3 linked regions of the Arabidopsis thaliana genome follow. The protein of the gene in region 1 interacts with the protein of each later gene in a pairwise test. Each region holds a gene or a part of one and is shown in the gene's direction. Other genes may lie near its edges.

Region 1 (11,805 bases):
TGACCAGACGTTGATTCAGATATTCACTGACCGAAGCAGGACTCATTTGGTCGCTGTAAGATCTACTTACCGTTCCATGTACGGCAAAGAACTTGGAAAGGTATATAATCAAGATCCAGAAACTTGTTACTCAAGAATCAGAAAATTTCCAAAATCTTGATCTTCTCTTTCTCCAATCTTGATAGGCCATAAGAGATGAGACTCGCGGGAACTTCGAGCATGTCCTTCTAACAATTTTACAATGTGCTGAAAACTCTTGTTTCTATTTCGCAAAGGTAACGTAACCTAACCTTTCTTAGACAACAATGTAGGGTTTCGAGTTTACAAAACGAAAACTGAAAGCGCAGGCATTGAGGAAATCAATGAAAGGATTAGGAACAGATGACACGGCGTTGATAAGAATCGTGGTGACGAGAGCAGAGGTGGATATGCAGTTCATCATCACAGAATACCGTAAGAGATACAAGAAGACTTTGTACAATGCTGTTCATTCTGATACAACTAGTCATTACAGGACTTTTCTCCTCTCTCTTTTAGGCCCCAACGTTTGAGATCTCTTTCTGTATCCAATCCCAAAATTAACTTTGATTCTCTGTATCTTACAAAATTACTTGCAACAATCTTGAAGGATATTATAACATGATTATGTGTAAGATCAAACAAAGAGATAATTGAGAAGCTGTTCTTTGAAGCCAAGAGAATCACTTTCAAGTTGTTAACTACTCAATTCAACAGTAACTCAGAATTCATTTCTAATCAGATTCCACTTTGTGTATAGTTTGATAAGTTTTCCATTGAGGCAAGGATGATAATAGCTCCTTGAGTAACTTACAGCTATACTCTTCCCAAGAGGTAACCGCGAGAGCTATACCCGTCAAGTCGAGTGAATCCTTTCGATCCTCACCAGAGCACGAATATCCAAAAGTTGTGGCTACGAGGTTCTCATCTAGCAGGAAAACTGATTTCAGGGCATTGATAGTTTCCAACTGAGAGTGGGACATAGCTTTCACCTCTTCTAATGTGTCATTTTCGACATTAGAAGTTACGAGTTCAGAAGCTTTCCAATGGTAGAACTGAACAACCTATTATCCAGCAAAAGAGAAGAAATAAGCATTTGATTATATATGATGAAAGGAAGCCCGTTTAACAAGACATTTACTATATCAACTAATCACTAACGACCTCGAAGAAACTCATGTGAATGTCAAAGAGAAAAGTACCTGAAGAGCATGAAGAATGTTGGCAAATTTTCGGGTGAGTAACTTTCCTCCTTTAGCTAATTGTAGTGGTCCCATAAGTTGTTCAGAGGCATCCGTAGAATGATCTTCGCCTTGTAAGCTATGTACATCAAAACCAAGAAGATGCAACCTCGCAACGCAAACATCAAAACCTATGTTTTGATTAGAACCATCTTGATGAGGACAGAACCAGTACATGTTAGTGGATGCAGGCAAAGGGAGGCACACTTCATGTGATGTACATTGTGAAAGACGAGAAAGAAGCTTGGAATCTTCGTCATGTGATGAGTCCCGGCTAAACCAGAGTGCAAGAGTCAATCTTTCTCCATCTGTTACCTCATCAACTGAGTGAATATTCCGGTCATCAGCTGTGTACATGATAACATCCTGCTCAAGAACACAAACTCATTATTCAATCTAAGTAACCACTAAGCCAACTGAAAAAGAACAATACTTACACCAGCCGATGGAGCAACGGTTACTGGTTCACCACTCTGAAAACGAAAAAGACCGCCTATGAAATCTTTCTCGTAACTATTCAAGTAACAAACTGCCTTCAAACCAACTAAAAACCAAAGTCATACACACATAAACCACAATATCAACAAGGACGTCTATAGATTACAAAAATGAGAGTGAATACGAACCGCAAAATCTCTTTGTTTTAGATATGATCTGTTATCATCACTATGCCAACCAATGCTAGCTCCTTTGCACCAACTGATTCAAAACAAAGAATCAATATTTACTCTTTTTTCCTGACTTGTTTTGTTAAAGAGACAGGGGAGAGAGACTAACCTAATCAAACCTGTGAATTCAATAAAAAGCTCATACTCACACCCAAATGTTTCCTCTATCTTCTCTTTCAACCTCTCTGTTAACTCAACACAACAAAGATCATCCCTTTGAATCTCACAAAAGTAAGATATAAAGACAAAAGCGAAATCTTTGAGTTTTAAAAGATTGACCTCTAATGGAGACAAAAGGGATGATGAGGTGAGGAGAATTAGTGGCAATGAGGTGAGAGAGAGTAGTGGAGAAGACATTTGGTCTGTACCCAATTGTACTGCTACTCTTGTGTATAAGCTCAAGTTCCTGTTTTTACCTCAAAATTAACCAAACCCACATGATTAGACACAAAATTAAGCAAAAAAGGGACAACCTTGCATTCTGCCGGCGACAGGAAATTGTGTAGAATTAGCCGAGGGTGCTCTTTCTCCGACATGTCTCTCCGGTTTGTGTAATGAATCCAATGAACCCAGATCGATTGTGGTTGTTTAGGGTTTCAGTTAATCCTGTTCTTACTTGTCTTGTCTATTTCGGTGTACCACCGCTTTTGGAATTAAACTGAAATTAGTTTGTTAATCTTTTTTTTCTTTTGTTCATTAGAATAATTAATTATATGATGTTAAAAAAAAATTATTATGTAAGAAATGTTAAGTCGGTAAGTTCCAATTAACTTAAACCGGAATTTTAGAAGACAAATGTTACAAAAACTTTTGAAAATAACTAATCAAAGTATCAAACTGAGGTAAAATGAGATTATACTAAGTGCTTACCACTACAATCGAATTTAAGTTCTTACTAAACTTCTAATGTTGTTCAACTTTTGCTATCATGAAATCCTCTACCAACCATCGATTTTTGTTCATTATTTACATATTTCTAGTTCAACATTATCACCACCACATTTGCTCTTAAACATAACCGAGAAGACAAGTGTTAAAAATCTCAATTTCCTAACCACCAGTCTAATTGTTGACTACTAAAACGTCTGTAATCCTCTAATCTCTAACTCTTAACACATATTGTTTAAAGAGCAAATTAAGAATTAAGACAATTATGAATCACCGATACACTTATTAAAGTACTTTCTCTTGTCTCTATTTTGACTTTTGAGTGGTACTGATAGGTACAAGAAACACAACAAACCCTAGATTTATCTTCATCTCTCTCAATTCTGTATCAAGCAAAGACGGATTCAACGATGTCTTCACCTGAATCACCTTCCGGTTCCGACTCATCCACACCACTTCTCCGTTCACGGCAATCATCACCACGTCGTCAACCTGTAATCGCGGTTCTATTAAATCGAGCTTCAGGACGACGAGGAGCTTCGATGGTGGTTAGAGAAACAGCTGCACAAGAGCTTGAAGAGCGACGAGCTGATTGGGGTTACTCGAAACCTGTTGTTGCTTTGGATATGCTTTGGAACACTGCTTTTGTTCTTGTTGCGATTGTTATGCTTTTGGTTTTTAAAGAAGAGAAGCCAAATGTTCCTATTAGGATTTGGATCTGTGGTTATGCGATTCAGTGTCTTGTTCATGTTGTCCTTGTTTGGCTTGAGTTTAGAAAGAGGAATGCTAGAAGCAGACCTGGAGATTTAGAAGCTGCTCAAGCTACGAATCAGGATAGTGAAGATGAAGACAACGATGAGAGGTTTCTGAGGTTAGCTCTCGATTCAATTATCTGTGCTGTTTTGTTCTTTAGCCAAATGATTTACTAATGATTTATGAGAATCAATTATTTTCAGCACTAAGACTTGTGAATCAATGAACACTATAATATCATTTGTCTGGTGGATTGTTGGATTCTACTGGCTTGTTTCTGGTGGTGATATCCTTCTGCAAAACGCGACGCATTTGTATTGGTATGTGTTGGTTTGCTCAATGTTTATTTCTTCTAGTTGAATGGTAATGACATCATTATGTTTATTAATGTTTGCAGGTTAACCTTTGTTTTCCTTGCATTTGATGTGTTCTTTGCCATCTTTTGCGTTGTGCTGGCATGTCTTATTGGAATCGCCCTCTGTTGTTGCCTACCTTGTATTATTGCTCTTCTTTACGCCGTCGCGGGGCAGGTATGGACTATAACAGTAACCCTTTTGGAAGAAATGAAAGCAATAAACTGCCTTTTGATATGTGTGTGTGTGTGTTTAGGAGGGTGCATCAGAAGCAGATCTCAGCATCCTTCCCAAGTACAGGTTTCACACGATGAACAATGATGAAAAGCAAAGTGACGGTGGTGGGAAAATGATACCTGTGGATGCAGCGAGTGAGAATTTAGGAAACGAGCGTGTGCTTCTTCCCGAGGATGCTGTAAGTTTTTGTTTTGAAAGTTATCTTGTGGATGTTTTATATGAAGCTTAGAGCTTTCTTTTGAATTGGGTTGGTATGTGTAGGACTGTTGTATATGTTTGAGTTCATATGAAGATGGAGCAGAGCTGGTCTCACTTCCTTGCAACCACCACTTTCATTCTACGTGCATTGTGAAATGGCTGAAAATGAATGCGACATGTCCACTATGCAAGTTCAATATCCTCAAAGGTAATGAACAAGAATGAAGTAATGTAGAGGAAACTTTTCTTCTTTTTATGTTGTGTTTCTTTTTGTTGTATATAGAGTAGAGAAAAAAGAAAATGATTGTGTTGTTTGTAAGTCATAAGACAGTTTGTTTCTTTGTTGAAATTTGTTGTCAATTCTCTTTTTTTTTTATCAAATAATAATAGATATATTCATCATGTAGCTAATCGCGTAAGACAAAAATAATCCTCATTTGTGACATTATGTTTGTTGTTCATGTAAACAAACATAAACCCCAAAGATATATCTAAAACAAATCAAGACCAACATAAACCCAAAAGATATATCTAAAACAAATCAAGACCAAGAGCTAAAGGTAATACAACAAGTTAATCTATAAAACTTCGGTCGCAAATGGCAGTGATATTCAAAAAACGAAACATTATATTGATTTACATTCAATTTAAATAGATTTTTTTTGTTTCTCATAACAATTTAAAAGGACTTTTATTAGTAGAGAATCAATCAAATTTGTTAAAAGAGAAAACATACATAATTGATTGTCCCTCAAAAAGAAAAACAAAGAGATCTCAACAGATTACAGTGATTAGATTAGTGTACACGTATTTAGTTAACAACAACAAAAAAAAAAAAAAAAAAAGACATATTACACGTTCCCTCCTCTCACGCGCAAAGCATCTCTTTGACTAATCACATCTTTTCTACGCTAATCACATCACTAACCAAAATAATTAACCATCCACCTAAATTATATACATACAATATTGCCATTTACTATATTATAATTACTAACCTCTATATTTCATACTTAAGTGCTTGATCAAGTGAACGTTGATTAATTAACAACCTAATCTAATCTTTGTTTTTTTTCCCTCTTCTTGTCTTGTCACACTTGCTATTAGAGAAGACGACTAGAGAAAGAAAGATAAACAACAACACTGTGACAGCATTTAAATCTCACTCTCTCTCTTGTTTCCATCACTACAAAAAAAAAAAAAAAAACGAACGATCTCTCTGAAACTATCTCTTTCTCTCTAGATATGTTGTTGAGACTCTGATTTGAAATCCCAGAGAAAAGCATTTGGATCCTCTCTAGAAATCTGCATTTTGAAGCTACTTTTTTGTTTGCATCTGAGTGTGTATAGATCCTGAGGAATTTTGATGTGTTGTTGAATCGGAAGGAATTTAGATCGGAGTAGTCGGAGATGTCTGACGTTTCGGCTGACGGTGGTTTTTTGTCGGCGGAGCAAGCTACAACGCCTGTTGCGATTCCGACGCCGTATCCGTCATTGACGGTGTCGGCGTCCTATAAGGAGAAAAGTTCTGGGAGGAGGAGACCGGTTAGGCCTAGTTTTGATGCAGCTGCTGATAATGAGTTTATTACTTTGCTTCATGGTTCGGATCCAGTGAAAGTTGAGCTTAATCGGCTTGAGAATGAAGTTAGAGGTGAGATCAATGCTTGCTCGATCTAGTCGTTTTCGTGTCGATTCAGATCTGATTTTGTTTATTGACTTTGTTTTTTCAAATGTGGTTTTAGATAAGGATCGAGAATTAAGTGAAGCTAATGCTGAGATCAAAGCGTTGAGGTTATCTGAGAGACAAAGAGAGAAAGCTTGTGAAGAGGTGTGATTTTTTTTTTCCTTTTTTGGAAGATTTTGTTTGTTTTTTGTGGCTTATGGATTAGGTTATGGCAATGTTGTTAGAGAAGATTGATAGCTTATGTGTAGTTTCAAGTTCCTTATTGTGCTTCTTGTTAGCTGATTTTTATCTTATGTGCTTTGGAATTTTAATAGCTTACTGATGAGCTAGCTAAGTTGGATGGGAAGCTCAAGTTAACTGAATCGCTTCTCCAAAGCAAAGTATGTATCAAAATCTCCCTCCTTACGATCATGATTTGGCTGGATATCTGATTATGAACTATGTTGCAGAATCTAGAAATCAAGAAGATCAATGAGGAGAAGAAGGCTTCCATGGCTGCTCAGTTTGCTGCTGAAGCTACCTTAAGAAGGGTCCATGCTGCTCAAAAGGATGATGATATGCCTCCGATTGAAGCCATTCTAGCTCCATTGGAAGCTGAGCTTAAGCTAGCTCGCTCTGAGGTATGTTTTACTCATTTGAAGTCCAAATTTCTACTTGCAAATCGGATATTAATTTATGATGTTTCTGTGAAGATTGGGAAGCTTCAAGAAGATAACAGAGCTTTGGATCGTCTCACTAAATCAAAAGAAGCGGCTTTACTTGATGCTGAGAGGACTGTTGAAACTGCTCTGGCGAAAGCTGCTTTAGTTGATGATCTTCAGAATAAGAACCAAGAGTTGATGAAACAAATAGAAATCTGTCAGGTGCTGTACTCATTATCATCTTCTTTGTATCTAGTTAGTCAGGCTTTGGATGCCTTCTACTTATCACTCATTGTTTGTTAATAATTTCTATTATCTGTTTGATTCTTTAGGAAGAAAACAAAATTCTAGACCGAATGCACAGGCAAAAGGTTGCGGAGGTGGAAAAGCTTACTCAGACTGTACGGGAACTGGAAGAGGCCGTTCTTGCTGGTGGTGCTGCTGCAAATGCCGTGAGGGATTACCAGCGGAAGTTTCAAGAGATGAACGTAAGTTAATACATTTCCGAAAAAAGAAGTATAGAATCTTTACTCAACTGATGAAGGAATATTTCTTGCTCTACTTTTGCAGGAAGAACGAAAAACTCTTGACCGGGAACTTGCGCGTGCAAAGGTTACAGCAAACAGAGTTGCGACAGTGGTTGCAAATGAATGGAAAGATGGTAATGATAAAGTGATGCCTGTGAAGCAATGGCTTGAAGAAAGAAGGTTTCTACAGGTTTACTTTGATATGATTGCCCTTTTCCTAAATTTGTGGAATCCAGATTCTTTGAAGTGACAAAGGCACACAACCTTACATTCTCACTCTTTAACTCTCTTCTTGCAGGGAGAAATGCAGCAACTCCGCGATAAGCTTGCCATATCAGATCGAGCTGCGAAATCTGAAGCACAGCTAAAAGTATTCATCGTATTTATGCATTAGTCATTGTCGAATTTATGTTCTTGTTTAACTGAACTAATTAGTAAACTATTTCCTTATACAATTTCTAGGACAAGTTTCAACTACGACTTAGAGTGCTTGAAGAGACACTGAGAGGCACATCAAGCATCAGCATAAGGAACACACCTGAGGGAAGAAGCATGAGTAATGGACCGTCTCGCAGGCAGTCAATCGGTGGATCAGATAATTTACAAAAGTTTGCGTCAAATGGCTTTTTGTCAAAGAAAACTCCGATGAGAAATTCCTTTACTTCTAATTCCACCTCGGTATTGAAGAATGCTAAAGGAACATCCAAGTCATTCGATGGAGGCACAAGATCATTGGATAGAGGCAAAGCACTCTTAAAAGGACCTGGGAATTATTCGTTCAACAAGGCTTGTGATGAAACCAAAGAATCAGAGTCACCTAATACCTGGAAAGAAGATTCAGAAGAGAAGCCACCAAGTGAACTCCCTGCACCAGCAACCGAAGACAATGTCCCAGGGGTTTTGTATGATTTACTACAGAAGGAAGTAGTCGCCTTGAGAAAATCTTCGCATGAAAAGGATCAAAGCCTCAAAGACAAGGATGATGCCATAGAGGTAAAATCTCTCTGAATGTACCATATAAAATGTTGTTAAAAAGACGTGTTTGTAATGGAAGTCTTGATATTTTTCTTGTAGATGTTAGCAAAAAAGGTTGAAACTTTAACAAAGGCAATGGAAGTTGAAGCAAAGAAGATGAGAAGGGAAGTGGCTGCAATGGAGAAAGAGGTTGCTGCAATGCGTGTGGATAAAGATCAGGATAATAGAGCTAAAAGGTCTTCAAACACCAAACCCTCATCCAACACCGCCCAGATTCTTGCTGCAAGGTATCTAACAATGTTGAATATCTTTGTCTATTTTTATGATCAAATTGCGATTTTAGCAATCAGACTAAGCTTGGTGTTCGATATTCTGCAGAGCTGCTGGCCGAAGTGGGTTAACAAGGAGTACACAATGAGATGAGGGAGGAGATGTGACTAGTTCTTGTGGTCGTATCAGTTTAAACAAGTAAAACCGTTATAGGCTGGTGTGATTTTTAAGCTCTTTTTAACCTTTATATCTCTTTTTTATTTCTCTTGCTTTCCTTTACATCCTCTGTGATTTATTGAATTACCATAGAACTTAAGGATGAAAAAGATAAGTATGCTTTCTGACTTAGATCGGCTTACACTGCTTAGCGATGACGACAAGAAAAAAGGGTGGAGGGAGAGATGTTTGACATTTTCGCATAACATTTTCTGTCCTATGGAAGTAGTTTGTTTGGCTGTATAGGTTTTAGCTCTGTATTGAAGTTTGTGTACTTTACTTTTTCGGTTTCTTCATTCTATTTACTTGAGGTGTTGTGTGATTATTTCTACTTTTGGGTTTGTGGATATATATATATATGTCCAAACTCAGTGTCTTCTCTCTTTTGGATGGTACGTCAAAAATCAAATCCTGCATGGTCGAGTAACAAGGAGAAGTATATTATAGAAGGATCTTCATACAGCAAAACCATTAACATTACATGAATATCTATCTAAAGCGTACAACAATCACTAATTTACTATGTACACACGCTTCTAGCTTCTGATATATCTCTTCTACATGTCGTAAGAGTTTGGAATGTGACAGATACAAAACCACAAACCAAATGAAGAAGGAAAGAGTCTTTACAGATCCGAGTCTTGCCGGCTAGCCAAGCAGAGTTCATGTAATTCATTGAGTATCCATTCCTCACCAGTGTGACCACCAAGGACCAATACTCTAGTTCCTCCAACAACGCATGTGCTATGTCCCCAAGCTAACTTAGGCGGTTTCCCGGGGACATTCAGGATCCTCCATGACGGTTTCTCTTCTGCAGGATCTATTAGAAACAGTTGCGAAGGAGAGTGAAGCCCTGCAATCGACCCTCCAAAGATGATGACCCTACCACACGGCATGCTCACAGCCACATGGTCTAGTCTTGGAGGCGGTACAACCACGCCTGGGAATGCGCTACACTCAAGCTCTCTCCATCTTGGTTCTTCATCCTCCAAGTCTATAGTGTATGCCTCCCCTGACCTTAGCTTTAGATGACCACTATTTGCAAGCCCGCCAAACATTAGGATTTTAGTCCGACCAAAGACCGATAAAGAATGCCCAAGTCTAGAAGGAGGAGCCCATGATGTCGGGATCTCTTTCCATGTCGGTTTATCTGTTGTCAGATCCAACAAGAAGGTGTCGCTGAGAAGCACTCCAGCGTCTGTGCAGCCACCTGAGACAACCAGTTTAGAGCCCTCAATGGTGCACGAGCTGTGCCAAGATCTTGGCAATGGAGGAGTTCCTCCTGCTACTTCCTTCCATGTGGGATGCTTAGCGTCTAGATCAAGCACAAATACATCATTAAGCAATCCTTGTCTTCCACACCCTCCAAAGACTACCAACCACGACCCGTTGAGACACGAGAGTGTGTGTCCCCAACGTCCTGGAGGCGACGACGTCACCCTCACACGCTGCCACTCAGGACACTCTGCATCAAGATTGAGAACAAAAGTATCATCCAATGGCTGCATGTTAACCCCTTCCCCACCAAATAGCACAAGCCGGTTCCCAACAGCACACGCGCTGAAATTGCAGCGGGAAGGTTGTACAATCCCTCCAACAGTAAATTTACGCCAACACACAGCTTCAAGAGTGGTGAGCTCTCTAGCTAACCGACCCCATCTTAGCTTCTTAGTCATAATCTCCAGTGTTCCAGTTATCTCTTTTCCCCACGCATTCTGACATACCATCTTCCTCACACTCTCGTTCTTCGTCAACTGCCTCAACCTCCTGCAAGCAGAACCAATTGAAGCAACGTCCCTTGGAGTTAACCGAGATAAGATGTTATGAGCCAAAACTTCATCAGATAGCTGCAATATCCCACAGAAATCTTCATGATGCTCCTTAAACCTCGGGCTTCCACTTGGAAACAAGCACTCAGATGTTTGATCAAGCTGTTGTTTATGTTTGAACACAGGATACGAGACACGGTCAAGGTCTATAGTCGTTTCAGAGAAGACCTGTATCCCAATTACGTGTGTAATGGTTCCATCATCGTCACGTATTGGAGCAAGCCGTAGTCTGTTAACCAAAGGAGTACCATCTTTTCTGAAATTAAGAAGCTCTCCTTGGAATTCAATACCTTCTTCAAGACATCTCCTAATCTCAGATACAACCACAGGATCAACCAATGGGTGACGCCTTTGAGCTCGAGGATCTCTGTACTGTAGGAATCGACTGAAACCAAGCAGATTCAACCACAAATGCAGCATTATTCAAGAGAATTGATAACAACACACTCCAATTCAAAAAGGGGGAAATCGGAGAAATTAATATACCAGTTACGACCAAGAACTTCATCGGCACGATAGCCAGTGAAGACTTCGAAGACTCTGTTGACATAGATCAAAGGAAAATCTGGCTCCAGAGCATCGGAAACAATGAACGAAGGCGGAGTCATTGGGTAATAGAACATCCCAACCTCTAACGGAAGCTTCTCATCCTCTACTTGTTCTTCGATTCCATCGTTACAGTATTCTTCTGCTTCTTCAACTCTGCCGCGTTTCTTTCGTTTTCCGGTGGCTTCTCCGATCGCATGTTCTCTCGCCATTTTTCTCGCTTACAGAAATATCTTCTTCTTCTCTGATAAGCTCTCAGCCTTATGATATTTTATTTCTTTTTGTGTCTGTTTAAACTTTTAAAATATCTTGGCTTAGTTGGTGACTTATTGACGAATATACCCTTTATATTTAAGACGAGGCAAGAAGTCTTCGCGCCAGGAGTTGGTGGCAATTTTCGTAATTAAAAGGATATATCAGGGGTATGTTTAAAAAAAGTAAGTCTACTCTTGTTCGATTGTAACACGTCACCAGGGGATATTCCGAGAAAATATCTAGCCTACTCAACCACTCGCTTCTTCCACGTCATCATATTTTGTGAAAGATATTTGTTTTTTTTTTGAAGATTGAGATTTGAGGGAAGATATTTGTTTTTGTTTGTGAAGTGTTGGAACTTGGAAGTTGGAACGCAATTGGAATCAGATTCACGTAACCGTTGACTCTGGTCAAATAATAGATATTTTTGTGAAACGCGATTCTCGAAAAGGTTACACATAATGTTAATGTAACAAATTGAGTTTTCGTGGTGAGTGGAATGGGAT
Region 2 (10,399 bases), on another chromosome or scaffold:
CCTCTTCTTTCATGTTCTCGACCACGTCAGATTTTTTAGCAGCAAAGCACACAAATCCCCAAGAAGCTTCGTTTTGGTATGTTAAAGTAAAATCGAATAAATTTTGCACACAAATCTCAATTTTAATTGTCTTTCCCTCTTCTCGTGAAATTTTCCGACAAAATATCAGTTTCTTCTTGCCGTGAGTTTTGGTTGGTCTGACCAAGAGTCCTTTTATTTGGTCAATACGTTTCGAAATTTGATAATCAAACTCTTTCTTCCTCTTCTTCTTCTTCCTTATCCGTAGACTCTAGGGTTTCAATACGATTCGAGTGTGTCTGTTTGCTCTCTAGTCAAAAATTTCACTCTGGTTAGAAACTTTCCCTTTTGGATTGTGAAACTGCTATTTTAAATCACTGCTTATTGATTCGTGTTCCGGAGTGATCTTGGTGAATATTCTTAATTTGTTTCGTTGTTTTGTGGTTTTAGATATCAAACGATCTGGTTTGTCGGATTTGATATTGGAGCAATGGCTTTGGTGAGTCCAATTCCAGCAATGGGTGAAAGAGCTGGATCCATGAGATTTCACGGAATTGGTAGCCCAGGATCAAGGTCTAGTAGGAGCGGGATTATGGACGAACCTGTCTCGCGGCTGATTGACGAGAAGATCTTCGTTGCAGTGGATAAACACGTGGCCAAGAGCAAATCTACACTCATTTGGGCTTTGCAAAACACTGGAGGCAAGAAGATTTGCCTTATTCATGTTCATCAGCCCTCCCAAATGATCCCACTTAGTATGTTCCCTTACACCTTGTCTCTGTGCTTTTTTTCCACTTAGTCTTGTTTGTGGTCACTGATCTTGTTTTTTCACATTGATTCATCCTAGTGGGCGCCAAATTTCCAGTTGGTGCTGTGAAGGAGGAAGAAGTCAGGGTTTTCAGGGAAAAGGAAAGGGAGAAAGTACATATGATCCTAGACGACTACCTTCGTATATGCCAGCAGAGAGGGGTATGCCTCCATCTATTTTCCTTTTCTTTAGTGTTGATGTTATGCCCTTAATAGGGAACTTGTTTTACTTCATTGGCTAGCACTACGATTATAGTGTCCTTATGATAGATAGTGTATTTATGATTGTAGGTCAGGGCAGAAAAGATGTTTATTGAAATGGAATCCATCGAGAATGGAATTGTGCAGCTCATCTCGGAGCTGGGAATCAGGAAACTTGTCATGGGAGCAGCAGCAGATAGACACTATTCAAGGTATGCTTATGGCGAGTCACTAAGCATTTTTTGGGATCTCTACTTATTCATACTGAATCAACTCCTGTAGATCTGTGTGCTTCTTACTCTTCAATATCCTTATGTTTTGCTTCCTCTATCAATACTTTGGCTTTCAGGAGAATGACGGATCTGAAGTCCAGGAAAGCCATCTTCGTACGCCGAGAAGCACCTACTCTTTGTCAAATATGGTTTACTTGCAAAGGATACTTGATACATACAAGGTTTGGCCAATTCTTCTTCTCATCACAACCGAATCCTTGGATTTCAAAATGACTTGTACGAATCAGCCATGCATAATTATTACTCTAGTAGTCTTTAAGCTTCCCGAGATCTGCATTGGCATTGAAAATGACGCATCTGTGGCTGCTTATTAGTAATAAATATTGTACTATCATTGCAGGGAAGCTACTATGGACGACACTGAATCAGAATATGCATCTCCGCGTCCTTCCATAAGTGCAAGTGATCTACTTCAAACTTTCTCTACACCGGAGTCTGAACATCAGCATATATCTCGAGTACAGAGCACCGATTCAGTTCAACAATTAGTAAGCAATGGAAGCTCAACTGAACAAAGCGGGAGGGTGTCGGATGGGTCTTTAAATACTGATGAGGAGGAGAGAGAATCTGATGGCAGTGAAGTAACGGGAAGTGCAACAGTTATGAGTTCTGGCCATTCATCTCCCTCCAGTTTTCCGGTATGCCATGTTGTTCCTAATGGAAAAGCAATGCATTTTGATTTTCATATAACATTGTATCTCAGCTGTCCAGGAAATTTGTCCATCATTGCAGGATGGGGTGGATGATTCTTTTAACGTTAAAATCCGAAAAGCCACGTCAGAGGCTCACAGTTCAAAACAAGAAGCTTTTGCAGAGACTCTTAGGCGTCAGAAAGCCGAAAAAAACGCACTTGATGCAATCAGAAGGGTGAGTTTCCTTACAAAAATAATTTAGTTGGCACTGTTAAAACTTTTTTGGAAATGATTGCTAGATGTTCTAGCTGGAGATATATACTATACTGGAACCGCTAGTGTATCACTTGGAGAGATCCCTAGGCTTAATAGTGGTGCTTCTAGTTACACCAATAACAGCTAAAATATTATAGTATACTGATATTATAGGTAATTATTATAGGCTAAACAATCAGAAAGTGCCTATTCTGAGGAATTGAAGCGAAGGAAAGATACGGAGATAGCAGTAGCGAAAGAGAAAGAGAGATTTATAACAATAAAAAACGAGCAAGAGGTGATCATGGAAGAACTTCAAAGTGCAATGGCTCAGAAAGCGATGCTTGAGAGCCAGATAGCAAAATCTGATGGTACAATGGAAAAGCTAAACCAGAAGCTTGATATAGCTGTGAAGTTGTTGCAAAAGTTGAGGGATGAACGAGAGGAGTTGCAGACAGAACGTGACAGAGCACTCAGAGAAGCTGAGGAGTTAAGGAGTCACGCAGAAACCTCAACCCTACAGTTGCCTCAGTACTTCACGGATTTCTCATTCTCCGAGATTGAGGAAGCAACTAATCACTTTGATTCGACCCTGAAGATTGGGGAAGGTGGATATGGAAGCATCTACGTTGGTTTACTGCGTCATACTCAGGTGGCTATAAAAATGTTGAATCCTAACAGTTCGCAAGGCCCTGTAGAATATCAACAGGAGGTATTTTCTTGACATATTATTAGTGAAATTTCTTGTTTAGTTTCATCATCATTGTTTACTGGTTTATTGTGCACAAACTGCTGCCTCTACGAAAAAGGGGACTTTGAAACACAGTTCTACTGTAGTTTTGATTTTATAGTGTTCGCTGTGGAGGAGCTTTGACTTATTCTTGCGGCATTGCAGGTTGATGTCCTAAGTAAAATGAGGCATCCAAATATCATTACGCTAATTGGAGCATGTCCAGAGGGGTGGAGTCTTGTCTATGAGTATCTTCCGGGTGGAAGCCTTGAAGACAGGCTTACTTGCAAAGACAACTCTCCACCCTTGTCGTGGCAAAATCGTGTGCGCATTGCCACTGAGATATGTGCAGCACTTGTCTTTCTTCATTCTAATAAAGCTCATAGCTTAGTACATGGTGATTTGAAGCCGGCAAATATCCTACTCGATTCCAATCTCGTTAGCAAGTTAAGTGACTTTGGGACCTGCTCACTACTTCATCCTAACGGAAGCAAAAGTGTGAGAACTGACGTTACAGGCACAGTTGCCTATTTGGATCCAGAAGCTTCCAGTAGTGGAGAGCTAACTCCTAAGTCAGATGTTTACTCGTTTGGGATTATCTTATTGCGCTTGTTGACCGGGAGACCTGCCTTACGGATATCAAATGAAGTGAAATATGCCCTCGATAATGGAACATTGAACGACCTCTTGGACCCTTTAGCAGGGGACTGGCCCTTTGTTCAGGCTGAGCAGCTTGCTCGCTTAGCATTGAGATGCTGCGAGACTGTCAGCGAGAATCGTCCAGATCTTGGAACTGAAGTGTGGAGGGTACTTGAACCTATGAGGGCTTCTAGTGGAGGATCTTCATCTTTCCATCTTGGCCGTAACGAGCACCGGATAGCCCCTCCATACTTCATTTGCCCCATTTTCCAGGTAACTAATCTGTATATTTGAGTATGGATTTCCAGTATTATTATCAATCTGAGAAGACTTCGATCACAAAGTCATTAAAATTTGCTTATCTGAGGTCTCAAACCGTTATGTTGCAGTCTAATGGTACTCAACCCGTTCTTCCTCTGCTTTGTTTTCAAATATTTCAGGAAGTCATGCAGGATCCACACGTGGCTGCAGACGGTTTCACATACGAAGCAGAGGCTATAAGAGCGTGGCTGGACAGTGAGCATGATACTTCACCAATGACCAATGTCAAGCTTTCTCACACCAGCCTAATAGCTAACCATGCTCTTCGTTCTGCGATTCAAGAGTGGCTTCAACATCATTTGTGAAAATAAAATCCTTCAAACCCTCAATCCCTGTTCTCTTATGAAAAAACGTTTTTGCCTTTTCTGCGGGAGGCAACAGAGTAAGTGAGTAAGATTAGTGTTTTCAGTCTTCCTTATACATATACATACGATCTAATCATGGATAGCAGCATATTTGTTTACTTTTTCAAGCATAGTGTAAGTCCTCCATATCAGTCATATATGAAAAGAAGAAGCTGGTGAGATTTGTATGTGGATATGTATATATATATATATATATATATATATATATATATGTTCTGTATGAAAAAAAAAGTTATATGCTTATTCGGTTTGTGTGAGAAGAACTGCCACTATTTTGTTCTTCCATTATGTTCGGCTCTCTTAAGAACAAAGATTAGCCTCTAATTATTGGACATGATCTCACTGATGATGCCTTTGCTTAGCTAAAATTAGGATGAGTCTTACATTTTTAGTCAAGACTATCGTGTAAGACTTGTTTTCCACCTGGAAGAAGTTACCTTGGATTGCCTATAGTGATTTTTAATGAACTCTTAAAATTCTTGTGATTAATCTTACTTAATTAGCAGTGGGGTCAGGTCGTTTTGGCGGCTAGTGGCATAACTGTATAAAAATTCAGGATTGCACTGAGGTAAGCCAACCTAACGCAGCCTTTAAAGACACCAACCTGGAAAATGCTGAGAGTATTCTTCAGGATTTTCTCAAAAGTCTTGTGAAATTCGTGTATTTGTGTCAATATGTCGACATTTCTCTTCATACACAGATACTGTCGCTTTTGATTCCTGGTTTGGCTTGTTGAAAGTCAAAAAGCCTTCATTATTTTAATACATGATTCAGCTTCTGCGTTAAGGCTAGGTTTCGTCATTGGTACCGTGGTTGACTTCGTGTGCATGTTATAACATAAGAAAATGTTCTTGCTTGTTGATTGCTCCCTCTGTTAGATAAGTCATCTCTTTTCTCGTATTGCAAATTTTAAGTTTGTTCTTGTTTATTCTCTTGAGTGAATTAGAGGTATGTTTTGAGTGTTCTCATATGGAGTGTGTTGGAGATAGGAGCTTCGATCCAAGCAAAGGGGAAAAGTGTTGGCTTCATGAGGCTTCGATGCAGCCTTAAACGCTAAAATCCAGGCCAAGCAAGATGGAGATAGAGAGAGATGATGGGCAAATCAGGTTCGCAGCAGCTGCTGATGGATGAGAAGATATATGTTGCAGTGGGGAGTGACTTGGGGAACAAGTCCACTCTTGTTTGGGCGATACAGAACACTGGAGGCAAGGAGTTCTGTATCGTCCACGTTCACCAGCCACTCTACAGAAAAGAAAAGGAAAAGACACAAAAGATCCTGGACAAATACCTACAAAAATGCAGGCAAATGCAGGTATGTTTTTGTTACTTCTATTGCGAATAAGTGATTTGATGATACAAGAGATAAAGAGAGCCGATTGTGATATTCTAGGTCTGTGCTGAGATGATACACATTAAAATGGAGTCGGTAGAGAAAGGGATCATCCAATTGATCTCAGAGCGCAATGTCAAGAAGCTCGTCATGGGAGCTGCGTCAGACACACGCTATTCAATGTACAAAGCACACCGGCATAACTAAATAGTTTTGGATTTTCATCTTCTCATAGTTCTTGTTATTTCACCGATGGACTCATCATTAATCTTAATTTGTAGGAGGATGGCAGATCTGTTGTCCACGAAAGCCATTTACATTCGTCAAGAAGCGCCTGCTACTTGTTGTATATGGTTTACTTGCAAAGGATACCTGGTATATAAAAGGTCTACCCCTAGTCCCTGTAATCTCTGTACAACTGTAAATACTACTTCAGAAGTTTTTTTTAAAATGATATTTGTGTTTTGTCACACTCTTGTGAGTTTTAACAGGAACTGAGATTGTGAGAACAATCACATGTCACAAGCTCTAATATATCTGGTGATGGTATAATGCAGGGAATCTATCATGGGCAACACCTCTCTAGAGTATGCATCTACAAGTTCTGGTCAAGATTCAGTCCGTTCACGAGGATCTGTTATACCTTCGCGCCAATTCACGATATCTAGAGGAAATGGAAATGTGTATCAGTTAGCTGTCTTTGAAGCTGAGAAATCGAAAAAAGAAGCAAGCTTGGAGGCTTTCAAGCATCAAGAAGTTGTAAAAGAGAAAAATGAAGCAATCAAAAGGGTAACATCTTCTTGGAATCTCACATAAGCTATTGCCATTGCCCATTGGGAATGTTGTCCTTTTTTCCTGATGATAACGAAGTTTTCTGACCAAATGTAGGGTAAAGAATGGGAAAGTGCCTATTTGGAGGAGTTGAAACAAAGGAAAGAAACAGAGATGGAGCTGAAGAAAGTGAGAGAAAAACTCGAAAAGATGAGGTATATATCTGAGAACCGAATAACCGAGTCTTATATGTTGGTACAAAAGCTGCAAGACAAGTATAACTTGGCAACGAAAGTGTTGAGAAAAGCCAAGGAAGAACGAGATTTATTGATTAAAGGACGCGACATAGCAATTATAGAAGTAGAGGAGCTAAGAAAAGAGGTCTCTCGATCTGATGAGCACCGTGAAGCTCCTCAGTACTTCATCTGTCCCATTTCACTGGTAAATAAAAAAGTCAATATGGAGAGAAACAGAAGATTGTATCGAATCAGTTCACAAATTAAAACCTTTGTTTTCAATGTTTCAGGAAGTGATGAAGGATCCACAACTAGCAGCAGATGGATTTACATATGAAGCAGAAGCCATAAGTACATGGCTTCAGGGAGGACATGAGACTTCCCCAATGACAAACACGAAGCTTCATCATACAAAGTTAGTTCCAAATCTTGCTCTTCGATCTGCAATCCAGGAATGGCTTCACGCTTCATCCTCTTTTAGAAAGTGAACAGAAATAAAATCACACTAAATATATATTCTTAAGCATTTGCTTCAACGAACACGTCTACTTGTACTTTATATTAAACCCATGTAATGAAAAACCTTTTCTTCATTTTTCTCTCCATTTTCTATTTATTTTCTTAGTAATACAATCTGACCATATGTATTACGTTGAAAACAGCCAATTAACGAAATAAAATATGAAAAGATACTAAATCCCATTTGTTAATTGACTTTATCTTCAGTGTGTGAGACGTAACTGCTTGTGAACTTCTTCTTTTCTCATCTTGTGTCAGTGTGTGGCTTGTGAACATGTCTTCATTAGTTTCTTTCGAGTTTACATAACACAAAGTGAAACAAGAAACTGGATTCTATATTGGATCCACCAACTAAAATACAAGAAGAGAATAACTAATGAAGTTTGCATAGTAACTAGAGAGGCATTGGAGGGATCCAGTAAGGGAAGAGTGGTGTTGTGGAGAAGGCTGAGGGAGACTTGGGACGAAAGGAACGTGGTTTTCTAGTGGCGATATCGTAAACACCAAAGCCATCGCCTGCAAAATAGATGGAGTTAGGGTTTAAGCCAGGGAATGAGCTTGCCTTGACACAGAAGGGCTCACTTCTGCCGAGGAATATGCAGAGATCTCCAATGTCCTCAGTGTAACACATGTTCATATCTTCCTCCTCTCTAAAGACCATGAAATGCTTTGTTCCACGACACAAGAATGTCATCCTCTCGCCCGGTTTGTAGTTCTGAGCGTACCACTTGACTAGGAAACGCTGTCCTGAGGGAGACTCAACGAGGTGTACAGTCGGCGGGGAACATGAGTCCAAGAGCTCCCACTCGGACTGTGTCACCTCAGGAAGGTTGCAAAACCGCAACTCAAATCCTCGAAGCAAGAATCCCAGAAACCCAACAAATGGCCTCCAACACTAGGAGTGTAGAACTTTTTATCTCTCTTTGAATACATAACCTTTGACTGATCAAAAAAGTGGGATTCGGTTTTAAAGCCTAAACCCGAGTAGTTGTCAGTTTTGCCACAAGGCCTAAAGAAATGGATCTCAAGTCCTAAACAATTGGCAGCCACTACAAAATCTTTACTTTGATCTGGTGAACAAGTCATTGCAGCGTTAGTGATGAGGCGTAATTGAGTAATATTAGGTTTACCCATGGGATACATGGGATGCAAAGGAATGATTTTGGGATTTGATTTGGAGCCACAAGGATTGCAGTAGTCGCTAACATAAACGGCTTTATGTCTACCATCACCTGTCTCCACATTGAAAACTCCCCATCCGTGGGACATTCCAACCAGACTCGTATTACGCAACTCCATGGGAAAGGCCTTGTCTCTGACAATAATTTCATCTTCCTTGACCGGGTCAAAATAGTGTATAGTGCTTGTTACATCAATATCATCCAAACAACTTCCATAATGTATCAGACTAAACATCAAGTAAGGGTTGGTGGTGGTGGAGGAGGAGGAGAACATACGAAGGGTACTGTGGCGGCATCTCTGGGGAAGAGTAAGAAGTAGACACATAAGAAGGAGAAAAACGAAAGAGGTTATACAAAAAGAACTAGAGAGAGGATAGATTTAATTAATTACCAGAGAAAGTTTGCGGAGAGAGGTCTTGGAAGAGAGGCGGAGAAGCAGAGATGACATAGCTAATAGCTTCGCTTGGTTGCTCTGTGTGTTTCTTCTCTAAAGGGTTTTCGAGTTAGTCAAGATCTAATTAAGACCAAAGTGCTTGCCACAAGAAAAAGGAGAAGTAGGGTTCTCAATTATTACTAGAGAGATGTCTCTTTCTCTTTATTTTTTCCACGTTTCTCTCGTTTTTCTCCTTCTTATGTGTCTACTTCTTACTCTTCCCCAGAGATGCCGCCACAGTACCCTTCGTATGTTCTCCTCCTCCTCCACCACCACCAACCCTTACTTGATGTATTATGTCACCTATTCTGATGAAGCCCCACAGGCCGGTGCAATGACAGAGCTCCGCATGTTTGACCCGGCCAAGGAAGAGTATTTCACCGTCCATGATAAGCCACTTCCCAAAGAGTTGGTTAAGTCGAGGCTGGTGGGAAGTTCCCATGGTTGGGGAGTTTTTCTTGGCTCCCCTAATTCCATACTAATTAGCGACTACTGCAATCCCTCCAGCTCCAAATCAAACCCCAAGATGATCCCTCTGCCTCCACGGAGTTATGAACACTCTTGTCAAAATGAATTGGTTAGTGGCGTGGCAATGTCCTCTTCTCCTGAAGAAGAAGACTTCGTTATGGCTGTCAAGTTCACGGGACGTCGGGTGAGTATATACAGGCCCGGTCAACATCGTAAGGGGAACCACCGCTTTTCGTCTACTGAACTGTTCGATTATTTTGAACAAGCCAACTTGATGTATTCCAAGAGAGATCAACGGTTCTACATGCCAAGTTCTGGAGGCCACCACTTGTGGTCTTGGGATGGTATAATATCCACCGACTCTCAGTACCATGACTTACGCTTTCACAACCTTCCTCAGTTTTCACTTTCCGAGTTGCAGCTTTTGAGATCTTGTTACAGAACACAACATCTTGTGGAGTCTCCCTCAGGACAACGTTTCCTAGTCAAATGGTAGGAGCTTCTTCTAGTAATTTGTTTGCTTTTGTCGTTTCATGTCATCATTATAAGAACATTTTCTTCCTTTTTTCCTTGTGCTTGGCAGGTCTGTTCAAACCCTTGGCAGGTCTGTTCAAAGCCTTGCGCATCGGTCGGTAGAATTCAGTTTTGGCGGCACAAAGCTGTTCATGGTGTTTAGAGAGGAGGAGGATATGAACATGTGTTACACACAAGACATTGGTGATCTCTGCATATTCCTCGGCAATAACGAGCCTTTTTGTGTCAAGGCCAGTTCATTCCCTGGCCTAAACCCTAATTCCATCTATTTCATAGGTGACCGTTATGGTGAAGGCTATGGCGTTTACGATATCGCCACTAGAACCCCACGTTCCTTCAATCCCAAGTCTTTTTCAGCTTTCTCTGATTTACCTAATGGCCAAGGTTACGTTCTTCCTAATTGGCTTCCTCACTGGATTCCTCCATTTCCTCTCTAGTTGTTAGGTCATTCGTTTTCAAAAGCTTCATTATGCTTATTTTTCTCTTTTCCTTTTAGCTATAAATCGCAATTTGCATTATCATCTTGCTACTCTGCTCCCAAACAAGCAATTGATCTTGATCAAGGAACTTAAAACCATTTATTACACTCGCAATGGTGGTGATATCAGAGTGTGTGTATATGATTAATTTCTAAATGCTAAAACAATGGAACCTAAACACAAATTG
Region 3 (8,965 bases), on another chromosome or scaffold:
GCTGATGTTTTCACTTGTAATACGATTGCTAGCTGTTTCAATAGATTGAAAAGGTATGATGAGGCAAAACAATGGCTGTTCAGGATGATGGAGGGTGGTGTGAAGCTTAGCACGGTTAGTTATACTAATTTGATCGATGTTTACTGCAAAGAAGGGAACGTTGAAGAGGCAAAGAGGCTATTTGTGGAGATGAGCAGCAAGGGAGTACAGCCCAACGCTATCACGTACAATGTGATGATCTACGCTTACTGCAAGCAAGGGAAAATAAAAGAAGCACGTAAACTAAGGGCCAACATGGAAGCAAATGGGATGGATCCGGATTCATATACCTACACGTCGCTCATACACGGGGAATGTATTGCTGATAATGTGGATGAAGCAATGAGGCTCTTTAGCGAGATGGGGTTGAAGGGTTTGGACCAGAATTCTGTTACGTACACGGTGATGATCTCGGGTTTGTCCAAAGCTGGAAAATCAGACGAAGCCTTTGGATTGTACGATGAGATGAAAAGGAAAGGGTATACAATAGATAATAAGGTTTATACTGCACTCATTGGAAGTATGCATTCACCTGAGACTTAAAACATATTCGTCAAACAAAGACCTGTATGAGCTGGTAACCCCTGAAATCTCTACCTGTTAATGGTTAAAATCGGTTACTTGAACAGAACCATTTATTTTCTGAAAGATTCTTTGAGCTAGTTGGGACAGGGTATGTATCAAACTTTGCTGGAGTATGATCATTTGGTATCCACAATGGATCAATCAAGCCACCATTGATGTCTACGCGGTAAAGAAAACAAAGCTCGACGCTTTTGGTGTATTAAATTACTATAAATTTGTCTGTTCATAGAACAAAGCTTTTCGAATGTAGGTGTGTATAAACTGATATTGAAGGAGTTTTCTAGAACCCTGTGAATCAAATCTAAGGATTGAGATGTTGATTCTGTGTATATGAGCCAGACATTTATGAAGCTTATGAAGTACTAGATGTTGATATCTGATGAACTTTTATTCTTTCAAAAAGCCAGTGACGATGAGGGTACCATTCTTCAGAAATACGAACAGAATCACAACTCATAATCGAGGCCAGCTCCATATTTCCAGGCCTCGAGACATCTCTTCCACTCGAACCTCGTCTTTGAGGGAAGTCCTTCCAAAGACGGCCTGAGAATACACAAAAATATCAAGAAAGTTCAAGAAACACGACATCCATAATGTGGCAGAGTCATGGCAACAGAAGCAACAATCCATACATAATTTCTTAAAGAGATTCAGAAATGTTTCACCTTAGCAATGGATCGATGTATGCCGAGAGGAGCGTATACAAGCCCAGCATGAAAAAATGAACAGACCAATCAAGCAGAACAGGTATCCCAACCTGAGGAGAATCACCAAAGAAACGAAGATTTCATGAATAAACCAAGAACATTTTCAATCTTTTGTTTCCGTTTTCTGGTTCAAAAATGATGCAACGATTATCAAAGGAGAGCTATACCTGTCTGAATATTGACGGAATTATCTGAGGTTTGGTCAGCATGACAAGGCCTAATGTCTTTGCTAGAGGACCAAACTGTATTATATCCTGAAGAAATGGTCTGAGAACTGGATCGCCCAATCTCTACAAGAGAAATATGAAACCATTACTTAGAAGCCAAAGTTCGAAACTCTCATTTCCCGGTTTAGAAAAGTGTACTATACCTGCATGCAACTGAAATTTACATGGAGAAGCTCATTGGTGAAGCCACGGGAAACATCGAGCTGTTGCTTTGCAGACATTGCTCTTTGAAACAGCCATGATGCGCTCAAGTTTGGCTGTCGTTCAAAAGCCAAATGGATTCAGTGAAGTTAATAGCAGGGAGAAAGATATTTAGCTGAGAACCACAAAGCTATATTACCATATAAGGATTTAGCTTTGATAAGCTGTCAGAGTCCAGAAGATCTCCATCTATTGCGTCATAGATTCCTTTTTTAAGTTGAACAATAAGATTGTCAGAAAATCTGAATATTCTGAAAGAGTTCATGATATAAAAAGTTGTATAATGTTCAATGAGATATGGAGACAGCAAGTGTACTCTCAGAGAGTGAGTGTATATACCATTGGACAATCTTCCAAGGTGTCTGGTCAAACTTCCAAAACCCCCAAATGAAACAGGTGATTGAATACCGCTAGCATCACCAAACTGAGTAAAAAATTTGTAAGTAACTTTGATTATTTAGTTTATCAAATTATCAATCCGCAAACTTATCTTGGAAGCTTATATATAAATGAACCAAACCAACCTGTAGAACACGATCAAATGCAGCTGGCAACGGACTGGTGACAAGTCCAATCCAACAGGGTTAGATATGTCAGAATGCAGCAGTATTATTGTACGAAACTGGTAAACAGAATTATAATATCAATGATAGAATTTCAAACTTCCAGAGATGATAGATATAGAGATACAGGCATCAACGGAGTTTCTTGTCAAAGTCGTACCTATTTCGGTATGTAGGAAAGATTCCGTATACAACTCTCAGTATTTCCAATTCATCAAGAGAGACTCCCTTTGCCAAAAGACATCAGGAAAAGAAAGAAAAAACGAAAGTTGATGAAAGATTGTGATATAAGATGGAAGGAAACTCACTTGGTATTTTGGCATCAGTTTCCAGTATTCTTCGAGTAAATCCTCTAAACTCGGAGATGTTGATTGCGGTTCAGTGTAAGTGAACATGTAAGTAGTGCGGTCTAATGGACCAGAGCCAGCCGGGAAAGCCTTAAAGCAACAATAAGCATCCTTATATTAAAACCATTTCTTTGTGGTTATGGGAATTGTGTTAGAATGGGGACAGATTTTTTTACCTCCCAAAAGAGTTGTACATTGGAATCTGCAACTCTGGTCACCGATGAACTGCTATATATAACGTCGCTTGATGAGTTCTCTTTAAACCCATGAGCACAAGATCCAACAACAAGGCACATTCCATCTGGCTTTCTACCACGTTTGATCTTTTGTAGCAGAATACATAACAAGAAAAGTATTATGCAAGGGCAATACACAATTTGCTCAAGAAAAGCGAATCAGTAAGTTTTATTTTTTTACCACCATAACTAATGCAAATGAAAATGTAAAAGTAGATATGTTCTTAGGCCAAGATATGACCTGCTTCAGAATAGGAGAAAAGTTTCCCATGGCATCAATAACGAGACGGGAAGATAATGTGTCACCTTTAGAAAGTTGCATAACCTGTCAATCAAAATGTTCAAACAATTCATATCAATAAGCTGAATACTCTTCTTAGGTACAATGTTTTTGGAGAAAACGCCAGATAACTCACAGCTAAATCATTGTAGATGACGATGCTCGAGAGGCTGGAGTCTTCTAAAATGACTCCACCAAGAGAAATGAAACGTTGTTTTACAGTTTCCACAAGTTTGGCTGGGCTGTTTTAACATACAAAACGAAAAAACAAACAAATCATCACTTTCAGAAAGTAGCAGAACACAAGGGGATTATTCTTTTCCTATGTATTAGAGAATAAGAGAAGACAGGACTCACGAAACGCCGAGGTTAAGAATATCTTCAACCCATATATCACCAAGATTCTCAAATCCACATCTGTTCTGCATTTGTTCAAGATAACCTTAAGCTACATGACTTTTATAAAGCATCAAGATATTGCTTACTGAAGAGAAGCTTTACCGGATTGAACTTTGCAGCAATTACTTCTTCGATCTCATCTTCGGTTAAAACTCTGACTTCAGTCAGTTCTTTCATCTCTTTTCTTGAGATATTCCATTCTTGATCTCTCTAAATCACCACAAAACCAAAAAGCTTTAACAATAGCTTCTCCAACCAGACCTCAACCACAGCATTAACTAGAAGCTTTACCCCTTTGATTGCATTTCTCTCCACCACAGCGACTCTTAAACCCTTGGCACATAGAGCCGTGGCTAGAAAAATCCCCAAAGTACCCCCACAAACCACTATGTCAAAGGTTCCAACGAGATTATTCCCCATACTATAATCTTGAGAAAAACCAGATACCCTAGAAACAATTTGCTGAGTTTCTTGTGGTCCTGCAAAGACTAACATTCATCACCAAGAGAAGCATATTTCTTAATTATCTGAATGGTTACCAAAAGACTATTGTTCTTATTACCTGTTGGTTGAGTACATATGTTGGACCAAATATTGTCAAGTCTCTTCAAGGCATTATAAGAGTAAGCACCACCAGCACCTCCAGCTTCTCCACCAACTGAAATACTCTCCATTATCTTCTGCATATCGAAATGATTGAACTCATACTCAGCTAAAAACAACTCATCGTGAAGTTAAACATGCTTATGCAATCTCGCTTAAAGGCTCTCAAGATTCAAATACTAAAACAACTAAGAAAGAACAAAAGCGATGAAAATTTCTTTTCCTGTGCAATGAAAATCAATTATCAGTTATCAAGAGCAAACTTTCATCACAATGCAGACCACAAAATCATCTCTAATCCTGATAAAGTTCACAACTTTTTCTCATTTCCCCCCAGAGGATGCGTAATTGAGCAGAAAGCTTGACCTGTGTAAGAGAGGGAGCCAATTGTGTTTGAACGCACACTGTCGTCGAAGCTCTCCTTCTTCCTTGGTTTGTCTGAGCCCTTGATACGGAACTAACGAACCCATTGAACTGATGAATTTGCAGAACCACCATGACAATGAGTTCCAAAACAAATGCTATAAAACCAAGAGCGAACTTTTGATAAACAGAGATAAAACTTGTGAAGAGAAAACTGGAAAGATTGTGCAATGTGTCAGAGAATGTGACACGTTTACAGTCTTACAAAACAAAAACATTTTGGGTTACATTAACTCAAAACAAACTTCTGTTCTAAAATTAAAACAAATCTAAATGTTAGTATCGTTTCTGTAATATTTATTATATCCTCTTCTTCTTTTTTACTGATTCATCAAATCGGGGATCGGATAAGCCTGACTGCTTCAGGGTTTAAGGGTTACTCTCACTCACACTTCCGCTGGTAAGAAATTCGATTTCGATGCGTATAATCTGTCTTCCGCTTTTTTTTTTGGTTTTGAAATCGACAACCTTTTTTTGCGGACTTGTTGGGTTAAATTCGTATATCTTCAATTTTGCGATGAGTTTTCACTTTTCCAATCGAAATAGCAAATGGGCATTAGCTAATTTCCTGAATTGTGAGTTTTTGTGTTACGCTGTGTCATTGATTCATATAAGCTATTGCAAAGAGAGTAAATGATAAAGCCTTCAGCTTTACAATATAATTCACTTTTACACACTAGAGTTTAGAAATTCACCTTCTTTCTCTGTTTCAGGAGTTACAAGACTTTAACACATCACAAAGAATTTCGATATGTGTTATTTAAAGTTCATTGTGGATCTCAGGTTTCACAAGATTGGATAGAAGCAGCCATGGCAAGTCTGATAATGACTACACCATTCCCAGGTTCTGTCACTGCATGTAAGAAGACAAATAACCTGTCTGTTCAGAGAGCCTTTAAGGTGACTTGTATGCAGACAGAGAAACCATTAGAGGAGCTATACAATGTTAAAGTGGAACGGAAAGTTTCACAGAAACGGTTGGAGGAACTCGGGGTTTCGAGATGGTCAGTTTGGAAGACAGGGAAATGCAAATTGCCATGGGATTGGCAGGTGGATCAGTTGGTTTACATTGAACAAGGAGAGGTTCGAGTAGTTCCCGAAGGAAGCAAGAGGTATATGCAGTTTTTAGCTGGAGATCTTGTTCGGTATCCGAAATGGTTGGAAGCTGATCTTTTCTTTAACGCTCCTTATATTGAGCGGTATTGTTTCAAGGCCTATGGTGATGATTGATCCAACTTAGACTTTTGAGTTTTTAGTAGAGCCAAGAAACTTTACACTTGTTGTGTGTTGTTGTAGCCTGATGGATCTTTTTGTGATAATATAAGAAAACAAGTTCTCTCTCCTTTGTTCTGCATTTTCAATGCTAATCATAAGTAAACATAGGCAGCATCAGAGAGAGATAAAAAAAAATCAAACATAAAGAAAGAAACTCAAATCAAAACATCATATTTGGACAAAACCCCACTATTTCATCAACTGAACAAAAAAAAGAAAGAAAACCAAGCCAGATTTGCCTGAAAACTAAATCCGTTTTACTTGTGGCTTAAGCAATAAGCAGAGTTATGATTAGGAAGAACTAGAGCTGCTCTCTCCTGAACAGCCTTGGCCAGAGTGGCTAGAATCTACTGCCGAAGGAATGGGTAACGGTACCTGACCAGATTCACCTCAAGTAGAAGCACCATCGCCGCCACTGCCAGATTCTCCTGAAGTAGAGCCGTTGCTGGAATTTTTGGGGTGAGAGCAAAACAGAGTTTGCCTGTTCCAGATCGGAAAGACCAGAGAGGAAAGACGTCTTTTTCCTTAAACGAATTCGACTTGTTAGCATCAAGCACATCGTTCCAACCTTTAACAAAGACATAATTCCAGTTTCCCTTCATCTTCCACTTCCTCAACTCAAGCGCATGCTTATTCATCCGAGGATCCACCAAATTCACAGGCACACCATCGTCACGAATCTTCATGGCATTTTCATGTATGATTCTTGTCTCGTCCTCTGTCAAAAAGTCCGGAGTTTTCACTTGGTTAAAAGGGACTTGGAGACGTGCTTTACCTTTATCGAGATCAGACTTAAACAATTCCCTCGTTGAGATCAGCTTCGGATTGTAGCCATTCTCGTTCCTCATAACGTTCAAAAGCCAATCGGGTGGAGTCGTTTGAATTTGGTTGCACCTCTAAAGGACTAACGACTTTGCCTTTCTTGGGACGTCTCTCTTCCACCTTAACAGAACAACGTTTTTTCTTGGACTGACTGACACAAGATGACATAGACGACTGTGAATCCGGATTAGGGTTTTCTAGTACGGAAGTAATTGATCTACGTTCTAAGAGGCTGTCAAGCGGCAACTCTGCGACAACTTCGTACATCAACTCCTGCATATTAACCCGCCCTGAGTTAACCCTAGGTTCCTTCTTTTTCGATTTGTCTTTCTTAGTCTCGTACTCTAACGACATGACGGGCGGATTCAACAGTTTAAAGCTTTTGTCTTCGTTAGTACCGTACTCTTTGTGCACATCCCACTGACGTCTCGAAATTTGTTCCACCTCAAAGCGACCAAAGGTTTGGGGCTTCTGAAGAATTTCACGTAATCTCGTCAAACATCTCTGCTTGGAAAAACTACGATCATCAGATTTCATCATCTTGATCAAGTCTCTTGAAGATACAGAACCGGAAATTATAAAACCTAGAAGGAAACTCGAGTTCTAGCGAAAGAGAAAAAGGTTAGCTTTGTAGTCAAGGAACGAAGGTATTCAGGTTTTCCTTTTCTTCATAGGGAAATTGATTTTATTTTGCGATTAAATTAATGAGAGTCGGTGAGATTACAATTTTTACACTCCTGGGCTCTAAATTAAGCCGCCTAATAATTTGTTATCCTTAAAGGACGAACTACCCTTACCCAACAAATGTAACATATGTTTTCGTTACTCAAAAAATTTCACATGTAAAGAAATACTTGTTCTGTTTCTTATGTTTCCATAATAAAATGAAGTAGTCATGAATACGTTGTTTGATATGGAAGAAACTAATTTAATAGTTTCGGCTCTTCTGTTATAAGATCATAGTTTAAATGTAAACAGAACATGCCATAATTCTGTTTTTGAGTAACTTTACTTACTCATTGATCAATTTACAAAAAAAAAATGAAACAGAACAATTTTAATCCTAAGGGTGTCTGATGCCTCTAAGCCTATTCTGACCATTATTCTTGATGAACCACCCTGGCTTGTACAAAGCAACAACATGTCCAATTGCCAATCCAAACAACACCCCTGGTCCATACCCTATTGCCGCTGCTCTCCACTCCAATATTTCTTCTTCTTCTTCTTCGGGCTCTTGTGTCGATGGTGCGTCTTCTCTTAAACAGCTTTCTTCAAGAGGAAGACCACATAACCCTGAATTTCCTTCAAATGAGGATTTAGGCTGCCCTATGATTTGTGTTCCTTGTGGTATTTTACCAGTGAGTTGATTATCAGAGACATCTATGTACGCTAAATACGATAGTCTTCCGAGTTCTTGTGGAATTTCCCCCGAGAGTTTGTTCCCTGACAAGTCCAATGACTCGAGCTCTGTCACATTAGCGAAAGACATCGGAATATGTCCAGTGAATGAGTTGTTTGATAAGTTGAGAGCAATCAATGTTTTCAAAAGACCAATAGATTCTGGAATCTCTCCTTCAAGCTTGTTGCCAGAGAAATCAATGGCGGAGTAGAAAGTAAGAACCTTGCCTTGCTCCATGTATAGACCTTTGTATTGCAAATCCAAAGTATCTTCATAAACAAACCGATCACTCGAATAGTCTCCCATATATAGCCTCTCTTCATCATACATCTTGAGAGATTTTACACTCCAATTCGCAAAGTAATTCGTTGGTAAGCTTCCCGTAAATCTGTTATGCGATATTTCAAGTATCTGGAGCTTGGGAAATGCAAGAGAACTTTGATCATCTGGTGGAGACATAGGACCATGGAAACTGTTTGAACGGAGAGTAAGGACTTTCAAATTGGGCAATGCCTTGAGCCACAAGGGAAATGAATCATTGATTCTGTTGTGATCCACACTAAGAAACCTTATGAATGAGCAATTCAGGAGAGATCTTGGAAGTTCTCCGGTTAGTTGATTGTATCCAACATCAAGTGTCTGCGTCAAAGCACCGCTATAAAACTCGTCTGGAATGTTTCCTTCCAACTTGTTCTTCCGGAGATTCACTATGGTGAAATTACCCATACATGGAGGAATTGAGCCAGTGAAGTTGTTGTAGGACAGATCAAGAACATCAAGAGAGGTTCTGTTACAGACCGAGAGAGGAATGTCTCCTGTGAAACTATTGTTCCAAGCAGACAAGTTGATGATAGAGACC

Evidence for each region.
Region 2: the proteins of MAP70-1 (region 1) and AT2G45920 interact in a two-hybrid assay, tested with the Arabidopsis thaliana proteins (one large-scale study listed by BioGRID).
Region 3: the proteins of MAP70-1 (region 1) and AT2G32650 interact in a two-hybrid assay, tested with the Arabidopsis thaliana proteins (one large-scale study listed by BioGRID).

The regions. Positions count from the first base shown.
Region 1 is NC_003070.9:25,508,188-25,519,992, reverse strand, and holds MAP70-1 (microtubule-associated proteins 70-1), read left to right. Parts: upstream 1-5,391; 5' UTR 5,392-5,766; coding exon 5,767-6,007; intron 6,008-6,098; coding exon 6,099-6,184; intron 6,185-6,354; coding exon 6,355-6,420; intron 6,421-6,489; coding exon 6,490-6,660; intron 6,661-6,732; coding exon 6,733-6,903; intron 6,904-7,013; coding exon 7,014-7,169; intron 7,170-7,251; coding exon 7,252-7,398; intron 7,399-7,506; coding exon 7,507-7,578; intron 7,579-7,670; coding exon 7,671-8,201; intron 8,202-8,282; coding exon 8,283-8,470; intron 8,471-8,561; coding exon 8,562-8,601; 3' UTR 8,602-9,106; downstream 9,107-11,805. Other genes in the region: ANN5 (annexin 5), read left to right, coding at 1-100, 186-275, 348-551; AT1G68080 (2-oxoglutarate (2OG) and Fe(II)-dependent oxygenase superfamily protein), read right to left, coding at 753-1,082, 1,221-1,625, 1,697-1,792, 1,886-1,958, 2,037-2,112, 2,207-2,333, 2,401-2,463; AT1G68070 (Zinc finger, C3HC4 type (RING finger) family protein), read left to right, coding at 3,226-3,686, 3,772-3,888, 3,966-4,098, 4,178-4,336, 4,420-4,581; FKF1 (flavin-binding, kelch repeat, f box 1), read right to left, coding at 9,296-10,883, 10,985-11,256. UniProt on the Arabidopsis thaliana protein: Plant-specific protein that interact with microtubules. In association with MAP70.5, is essential for the normal banding pattern of secondary cell wall and for the proper development of xylem tracheary elements and wood formation.
Region 2 is NC_003071.7:18,894,012-18,904,410, forward strand, and holds AT2G45920 (U-box domain-containing protein), read left to right. Parts: upstream 1-4,617; 5' UTR 4,618-5,351; coding exon 5,352-5,573; intron 5,574-5,651; coding exon 5,652-5,773; intron 5,774-5,872; coding exon 5,873-5,977; intron 5,978-6,148; coding exon 6,149-6,380; intron 6,381-6,479; coding exon 6,480-6,803; coding exon of another isoform or gene 6,804-6,888; coding exon 6,889-7,086; 3' UTR 7,087-7,292; downstream 7,293-10,399. Other genes in the region: AT2G45910 (U-box domain-containing protein kinase family protein), read left to right, coding at 509-773, 866-987, 1,117-1,238, 1,376-1,480, 1,660-1,957, 2,052-2,186, 2,394-2,918, 3,102-3,848 and 1 more; AT2G45930 (uncharacterized protein), read right to left, coding at 7,934-8,596, 8,690-8,746; AT2G45940 (hypothetical protein (DUF295)), read left to right, coding at 8,982-9,691, 9,783-10,170. UniProt on the Arabidopsis thaliana protein: Functions as an E3 ubiquitin ligase.
Region 3 is NC_003071.7:13,846,127-13,855,091, forward strand, and holds AT2G32650 (RmlC-like cupins superfamily protein), read left to right. Parts: upstream 1-4,862; 5' UTR 4,863-5,010; exon of another isoform or gene 5,011-5,245; intron 5,246-5,393; 5' UTR 5,394-5,420; coding exon 5,421-5,840; 3' UTR 5,841-5,862; downstream 5,863-8,965. Other genes in the region: AT2G32630 (Pentatricopeptide repeat (PPR-like) superfamily protein), read left to right, coding at 1-582; AT2G32640 (Lycopene beta/epsilon cyclase protein), read right to left, coding at 1,071-1,167, 1,290-1,381, 1,499-1,621, 1,702-1,815, 1,899-1,966, 2,099-2,183, 2,284-2,317, 2,483-2,550 and 9 more; AT2G32645 (B3 domain protein, putative (DUF313)), read right to left, coding at 5,863-5,959, 6,261-6,733; RLP22 (receptor like protein 22), read right to left, coding at 7,771-8,965.